Cricetulus griseus: one gene and its partner. The protein of the gene in region 2 interacts with the protein of the main gene of each other region in a pairwise test. Links are inferred from orthologs where the notes say so. Each region holds a gene or a part of one and is shown on either strand. Other genes may lie near its edges.

The links.
Region 1: the proteins of Fam161a (region 2) and Dhx32 interact in binary tests that used the Homo sapiens proteins (3 or more experiments, as listed by UniProt). The two-hybrid records come from large-scale screens. The link is inferred for Cricetulus griseus from reciprocal best matches to the Homo sapiens genes FAM161A and DHX32.

The regions. Positions count from the first base shown.
Region 1 is NC_048596.1:67,131,963-67,135,782, reverse strand, and holds part of Dhx32 (putative pre-mRNA-splicing factor ATP-dependent RNA helicase DHX32), read right to left. Parts: intron 2,702-3,820; coding exon 2,456-2,701; intron 672-2,455; coding exon 572-671; intron 480-571; coding exon 321-479; intron 1-320.
Region 2 is NW_023276807.1:83,748,146-83,751,965, forward strand, and holds part of Fam161a (protein FAM161A), read right to left. Parts: intron 1,060-3,820; exon of another isoform or gene 943-1,059; intron 865-942; coding exon 635-864; intron 1-634. UniProt on the Homo sapiens protein: Involved in ciliogenesis.

The DNA of each region.
Region 1 (3,820 bases), on a different chromosome or scaffold from region 2:
CTGTCCCGACTTCCTCCAATGATGAACAGCAATCTGGGAGTATAAGCCAAATAAACCCTTTCTTCCCCATCTTGTTTTTGGTCATGGCGTTTCAGCACAGCAAAAGTAACCCTAGCCAGGACACCCCTAGCCACATCATAAACACACACACTAGGTTGTTGTTCTTTTAAGTTTTCTTTAGAGAATTTCTGCCTATGATGGTGAGAAGGTATCAACACTGAACAAACCTCATGCTGGCTTACACTGACAGGTGCTATGTGCGCTCTGGTGCCACAGAAGGAAGAAGCGGCAGGAATAAGAAAGCCCGAGTGTAAAGCTACCTGGCCTGTTCATGAAGTCGCAGCGGCCCAAGCCAGCGATGTCCACCCTCTTCATGAAGAGCACCATGCTGGTCAGGTTGGCTTCCTGCATTTCTGCTGGCTTAAGGGGCCTCATGTCTTTGGAGGCAAATTCTTCAGTGTACAGACAGAAAAGTTTTCCTAAAAGAAGTCAAGGGAGATGGTTTCAGTGTTGCTGTGACACATACCCCTGAAGGACTTCCCACTGCTTGCTATTGTGCCTACCACACTACCTGAGGGAGAAGACCCAAGAAGCTGCTTGCGGGTCTCAGCTTGGCTTTGGCTGATGGGCTGAAGGACGAGGGAGTTGGCTCTGATTCGGGGGTTGTATACCTTTAACAGAAACACAGCATGTTACCTCCTGGAAATTCAGGTGCAGCCACCCGCCTCTCTCCAAGGTGACTGCCCCCAGCATGCCACCACAGAAGCGCTGTCAGGCTCTTCTCCTTTGCTTGGTGTCTACTGCACACCATGAGATGGAAACTGCCTTGACAAATGGATCTATAAGCTGCCTGCTTCCACAACACTTCTGGAACTACTGGAGACCTCAGTGTCACCTGCCACAGTACTGAGCTGCCACTTCTAGAGCCTCATGCTGGTGTGGGGATACCCACCCCACAATGTCACATAAAAGAAAGGGTTTCCATTCAACAGGGCTATAATGCTTAGATGTTTTGTTCAGACTCAATGTTAGCACAGTGGGCCCACTTATGACACATACTGGGATTTTCTGGGTGGTGCACCTACTACAAATGCCACACAGAACTAATAGCTACTCTTGCATGTAGCTTAAAAGGGCAAGTGACAGCCTGTGTTCTATGAATGATGCAGTAACTGAAGACTGACTCCAATAAGGCGGGTGTGGTGGTGTGTGACTAAGATCCCAGCACTCGAAGGCTGAGACAGAGAATCTTAAGTTCAAGGCCAGCCAGGCTACATGGCAAGACCCTGTCTCAAAAGAGACTGCCCCAACTTGTTTCAAGGGAACCTTCATAACCATGGGGACACCATGGTGTCACAGTAAAACAAGGATATTCAGGAAGTATAGAGTTTCCTCAAGGGATAAAATCTGGTAGTTTCCTCTCTGTTTCAAAAGCTTGTTGTTGTTGTTGTTGTTGTTCTAGTGTCTTCAGAGTTTAAGAAACCATACCTTCATTTTTTTTATTTAAAGGGAATGATAAAAATATTTTGTATGAGGTTATTTCATTTATAATTTATTTATCTTTAAATTATTTATTTGTTTGTTTGATTTGAGACAGGATTTCTCTGTGTAGTCCTGGCTGTCTTGGAACTCACTCTGTAGAACAGGCTGGTCTCAAACTCACAGAGATCCACCTGCCTCTGCCTCCAGAGTGCTGGGACTAAAGGTGTGCGGCACCACCATTCAGCTTTAATAATCTATCTATCTATCTATCTATCTATCTATCTATCTATCTATCTATCTATCTATTTCTGAGACAGGGTTTCTCTGTGTAACAGTCCTGGCTGTCCTGGAACTCACAAGATACTTGCCTGCCTCTGCCTCCCAAGTGCTAGGACTAAAGGCACGTGCCACTGCTACTATGCCTGGAAAGAATTCATTTTCTAAAATATTTAGATTTAAAAAATTTTGTCTAATTATCCAGTATTTGCAAAAGTTAGACAACTGACTTGAAACTAATTTCCCTGAAGTAATATGCTAATTATGCTGAAAAACAGATAACCAGACATGATGTACCAGAGAAGCTTCAGAAGCCGAATATTGTGCTATGCTAGTAGGTTTACCTAAAGACACAAGGGGTTGGGCACTGGGCTAGCATATGGGAGGCCCTGGGTTTAATTTCCAGTTAAAAGGAAGAAGGAAAGGAAGGAGATGGGCAGGCAGGTAGACAGGAACCAACACCTTTATCAAACATTTGGTCTTTCCTCAAACCTCTGTACCTCAATTAATTTCCTTCCAGACTACCAATATGCTAAAGAGATATAGCCAAGGCTTTATCGGATGGTTACAACCACTCTGTGCACATGTGACCAAATAAAGCAAGCCCTGGGTCACTATGTACTGTCATTTTCTGGACACTGGTGTAGCAGGAAGCCAGCCAGTGGGTTCTGGTGATGGCTGGTAGGACTGTAATTACCTGTCTTCTTTCCAAACCAACGTCGATAACAAATTTGACCGTGTGGCTCCAGATCAGAGATTCCCCGCTGCTGGTGGTCAGCACCACCCTTCTCTGGTATACTTGGCATCTCTTCTCGGTTTCATCCGCTGGCCTGAACAGGTTGCATTTCTCTTTGGGATACAAAGGAATGACCACCAGCTCGCCTAGATCTGGGTTTAAGTTGGAACCTTCCTGACACACAATTTCATAGGTTTTTTCAATATCCTAAAGTGAAAAAAAAATCCATGAGAATAAAGAACAATATTTCAGTACAGAAATATCCCAGAATTCAGTATTTTTTTTTTTTTAGGTAATAATGCACATAGGGAAAGAAACATTTATGCTATTGCCTTAAATGAAGGAGGAGGACATAATCTTTCTTTGGGAAAGTTAAATGTGATTTGCACACAATTTCATTGCTTTTAGCCCAGAATGGTTTTCCCCTCAAGAAAGTCTTCCAGCATGATGCCATTTCTTAGACACATTAACATGAGCAGAAAAATCAAATTCATCCTCACATCAGTGGTGGTAGTTCACTGTTCTCTGAGCCAGTGGAACTAAGCATTACCCAACATCATCTAGATTTTCTGTAAAGAGCAGTATCCCAGCCTGGTGTGCTGGCTCATGCCTTGTATTCCCGGGGCTCAGTGGGCTGAGGCAGGAGGATTACAGTGTGAGGTCAAGGCCATCGTGGATTAGAGTGTGAAACTTTATCCCAAAAAACTAAAATAAAATGTAAATGTACATAGAAAAGCATGATTGGGATCCTCACCTAGGTCACCTTAGAAATCATTTGACCCATGTGTACTTCAAAGTGGTGGCAGAAAACCTGTAAGATGGGCAGGAAGCAGTCACCGACACTCTGCATTTACAGGCATTTAAAACAATCTGTTCAAATACACATCAAACATACTGGGAAAGAATATAAACCACCTGCCATGAAATTACTTATAAGTAAATGGGAGTGCCTGAAGGTAAAGTATTTTAGTTTGCACATTTTTCAAATCCCAGCTAGTTTTTGAGAATAGATGTTACTTTATCTGAGTCCTTTTATAGTTTTGGAATTTCTGTCTTCTTTTTGTGTTGTGTGTGTGTTTGCTTTTTTCAAATCAGGGTTTCTGTGTGTACTCTCTGCTATCCTAGAACTCACTCGGTAAGCCAGGCTGGTCATGAACTCACAGAGATCCTCCTGCCTCTGCCTCCCTAGTACTGGGATTAAAGGCATGTACATCCATGCTGACCAAATTTGTCTTTTAAAGTGCAAAGCAAGCCACCAAATGGAAAGCTCACATAGTTTATCCGAGTTATCAGAGTTCAAAGTCAGTTTCCTGTGACCTCTGAAGT
Region 2 (3,820 bases):
AGTAAAGCGAGAAAATACAGGTGAAGGAGCAGGAGAGATGGCTCAGCAGTTAAGAGCACTGGCTGCTCTTCTAGAGGACCTGGGTTCAATTCCCAGCACCCACATGACAGCTCACAAGTCTCCATGGGCACCAGGCACACATGTGGTGCAGACAAACATGCAGGAAAAACACATTAAATTACAATAAAAACAAACAAGCAAACAGATGGCCACTAAATGACCCTCAAAGCAAGAGGTAACTTAATAAACTGATAAGCCATTAAACATTTTGAATAAAATCCCACCTCTATATATCATTAATACTAGGAAGGACCTAGTCTGTCTATCTCCTGTGTGCCAGGCCTGCCTGAGATCTGACACCCAAAGACATGACACTCCAGCGTCTCAGAAACAGGAGGTCATGCTCAGTTTTTGGTGGGAGGCAGGAAAGCATTTTCAGCAAGAGTGTCATCCTTAAGTTCAATTTTGTTTCCAAACCATGCTGGAGATCAAACCCCAAATGTATGTTAGACAGGCTCTCACTGTTGCTGAGGACCTGATATTTAGAAGCAAATACTCCAGGATATTTTGTTTCATACTTAGTTTAAATATTTATCTTAGGTCAGTCCTCAGATGACACCGAGCACAAACTTACCTAGAGGAGACACTAGAATAATCTTCCCTGGTGATCACTGGCCAGACGTCTTTTATATTTAGCTTGTCCTGGTACATTTTCTCTAATTTTGCCATGGTTTCTGCATGGGCGGCCTTTAGCTCTCTTAGTTTCCTGAAATACTCTTCATTAGAGTGGTAAACATCAGAAAAGTCCACAATGTCCTGGATTGTCACATCTTCTTTTTCCCTGGGAAAGCTGTTACCACTAGCCTGATGGGAGGAGAAATCCATTATATGCTATTTTAAATGAAATAAACAATTGATGCTGATCCAAACGCTGGTTCTTACATATGTCCCACTCTGTAGCCCAGGCAGGCTGCCTCTGCCTTCTGCTCCCTGGGATTAAAGGTGTGTTCCACCAAGCCTGGCTTCAATCCATTTTATAATGGTTAGGTACCTAGAAAACTGACAGTAAATATTCAAGTTGGGACACTTAACACTGCAGAAGACAGAATGGGACACTGCTACGCAGATTTCAACCAGAAGCCTCTTCTGAGTTGTGCATCTTTGCTGACAAGAGAGAAGCTACTCTCCTGTACCTACAGCCAGCTCTTGAGGGGTCCCTGCCTCGGGGCTCCAAGGGTGTGCAGTGGAGAGAGGGCAGGCCCAGGGACAGTTCTCAGTTGCTCTTCCAAGGACCCAGGCTGGGATGACCTTGGAGGGGAGAAGGACACGGGGCAAAGAGAGTTTCAGAAGGGTCACTGCTGTGGGCAGCAAGCAAAGTAACACCTGTGTATGGCAGACAGTTTGGGCAGGAGAAGTGAGCGTGGAGAAATACTGCATGTACACTTGCATGCAGGAGACACTCCACATACAAGTCAGGACTGGAGGGTTCTGACTGGACTTTCTCTCATCCCTTTTACCCATCGTTCTGTTCTTTTTAAAGAGATAAAAACCTCACTTTCTAGAGCTACAGAAGCAGCTTAGTTGGTCAAGTGCTTGCCATGCAAGCATAAGAAGCCATAAAAAAGCCAGGCGTGGTGACACAAGTTTGTGACCCCAGCATTGGGGAGATGAGACAGGACCTGAAGCTTCATCAGTGATCTCTAGATTCCAGTGAGAAACCCTTCCTCAAATAATGATATGATTTCATAAAATAAGTCTGTTGAGCCTTTCCAATGGGAAAATTCAGAAGAGTCCATTACAAATCATACCTTGGGCTGCAGAAGGGCCTTGGCTGTAAGGTGTCTGCTGAGCATGTACCAGACTGTGGGGTTATTCCCAACACAACGAGAAAGGAGGGGATGGATGGATGGATGGATGGATGGATGGATGGATGGATGGACAGAGGGCCATATTTTTAAGATTATGTGCATACCTGTGTGCATGGGTGAGTACAGGTGCCCATGGAGCTGGGGGTTCAATCCCCTGAAGCTGGAGTTACAAGTGGTTGTGAGTTGCCTGGTGTGGGTGCAGGGAACCAAATCCCAGTCCCTACAAGAGCACCAAGTGCTTTAACCACTGAGCCATCTATCTAGCCTCAGATTTTTGTTGCTATTTTTTTTAAAGTTTTTGAGAGGCTGGTGTTGTCCCACTTGGAATAAATTCTAGAAAACAAATGAAATGTAGAAACTTGTTATCAACAACTCATAGGGCCAAAGACCTATTTAATGTATGTCACATGAGTTGCTTAGGAGAATTTGTTGCTTTTGCAGAGGACCCAGGTTCAGGTCCCAGGTTCATAAACGTGGTGACTCACAATTCTTAACTCCCGTTCTAGGGATATAGCGCCCTCTTCTGGCTTCCACAGGCACTGCGCACACATGGTAATCACTTAGACCTGCACAGACAACTGCCTCACGTAAATAAAAATTGATGGGGGCGGGGGCTAGAGAGATGGCTCAGAGGTTAAGAGCGCCAGCTGCTCTTCCAGAGGTCCTGAGTTCAATTCCCAGCAACCACATGGTGGCTCACAACCATCCATTATGAGATCTGGTACCCTCTTCTGGTGTGCAGATACACATGAAAGCAGAATGTTGTATACAAAATAAATAAATAAATAAATAAATAGATAAATAAATAAATAAAAATCTTAAAAAAATGATGGGGGCAGGGGGGATGAGCAGAGTTCCCCCAAGGCCCTGCATTTGCCCCCTTTCTCAATGCTCGCACTCCAGAAGTCTGCACAGCATACTCGCCCACTCTCCACTCAAACACCACCTCCAGAGAGGTTTCGTGGACTATCCCCTTTGGAATGGCCACTCTCCCAACTCACTGAGTCCTCTTCTCCACTTCATTTCTCCAGAAGTGTTTACTCACACCATCTGCCCCGTCCTGGCTGATCTGTATACCCGGGCCTGCTCCAGCTGGAGAAGGGTTTGTACAAAGGCAAGAGTTTATTTGCAGGGTTCTTTCTTGTTCTCAGCTTCTAGGAAGGAGCCTGACCAAGAACAGATGTCCAGTACATATTTGTGGAAAGAAAGAATGTACAGTTAAAGAATATGTAAGCTTCCACCACAGGAAAACAGCAGTGTTTCCTTTCGCAAGACTGAGCTGTGTCTGGAAGGGCAGGTTGCTGAAGGACCACCTGATCTTACTGAATACAAAGGAAAAGGCCCATGATCCTAACATAAATGAAAACCTAAAACTCAGGCTGTAAAACTGCCAGTGTGTTATAAACATATGCCCTCTAGGAGAACAGTGGGCAGTTTTCAGACAGAACACCCGTGGCTCATTCTCTCCCCCACAGACTCTCTAACAGGTCCTATGTCATCTACACTGAAGACAGCAGGGGACTGTGGCCTGGAAGAACTGTGTGAAAGGGAGACACAGCAGGGTGGAAGCAGAGACAGGCCTGAGGAGCTGCACACACACACTGAGGTCTGCATGTGGCTACTCACTGTTAATGCAAGCAAAACTCAAATAAACTCTCCTGGTTGTTTCACTTTTTTTTTTTTTTTTTTTTTTTTTGGTTTTTCGAGACAGGGTTTCTCTGTGTAGCTTTGGAGCCTATCCTGGCGCTCGCTCTGGAGACCAGGCTGGCCTCAAACTCACAGAGATCCGCCTGCCTCTGCCTCCCAAATGCTGGGATTAAAGGCAGGCGCCACCAACGCCCGGCTGGTTGTTTCACTTTTAACCTAGAACAGATGAATGGCTGCGAAATAACTCCTGATTCTAGTTTTACCTTCGCCCTTTGCCCCAGGATCATGTAGTGTGCCGGACACCA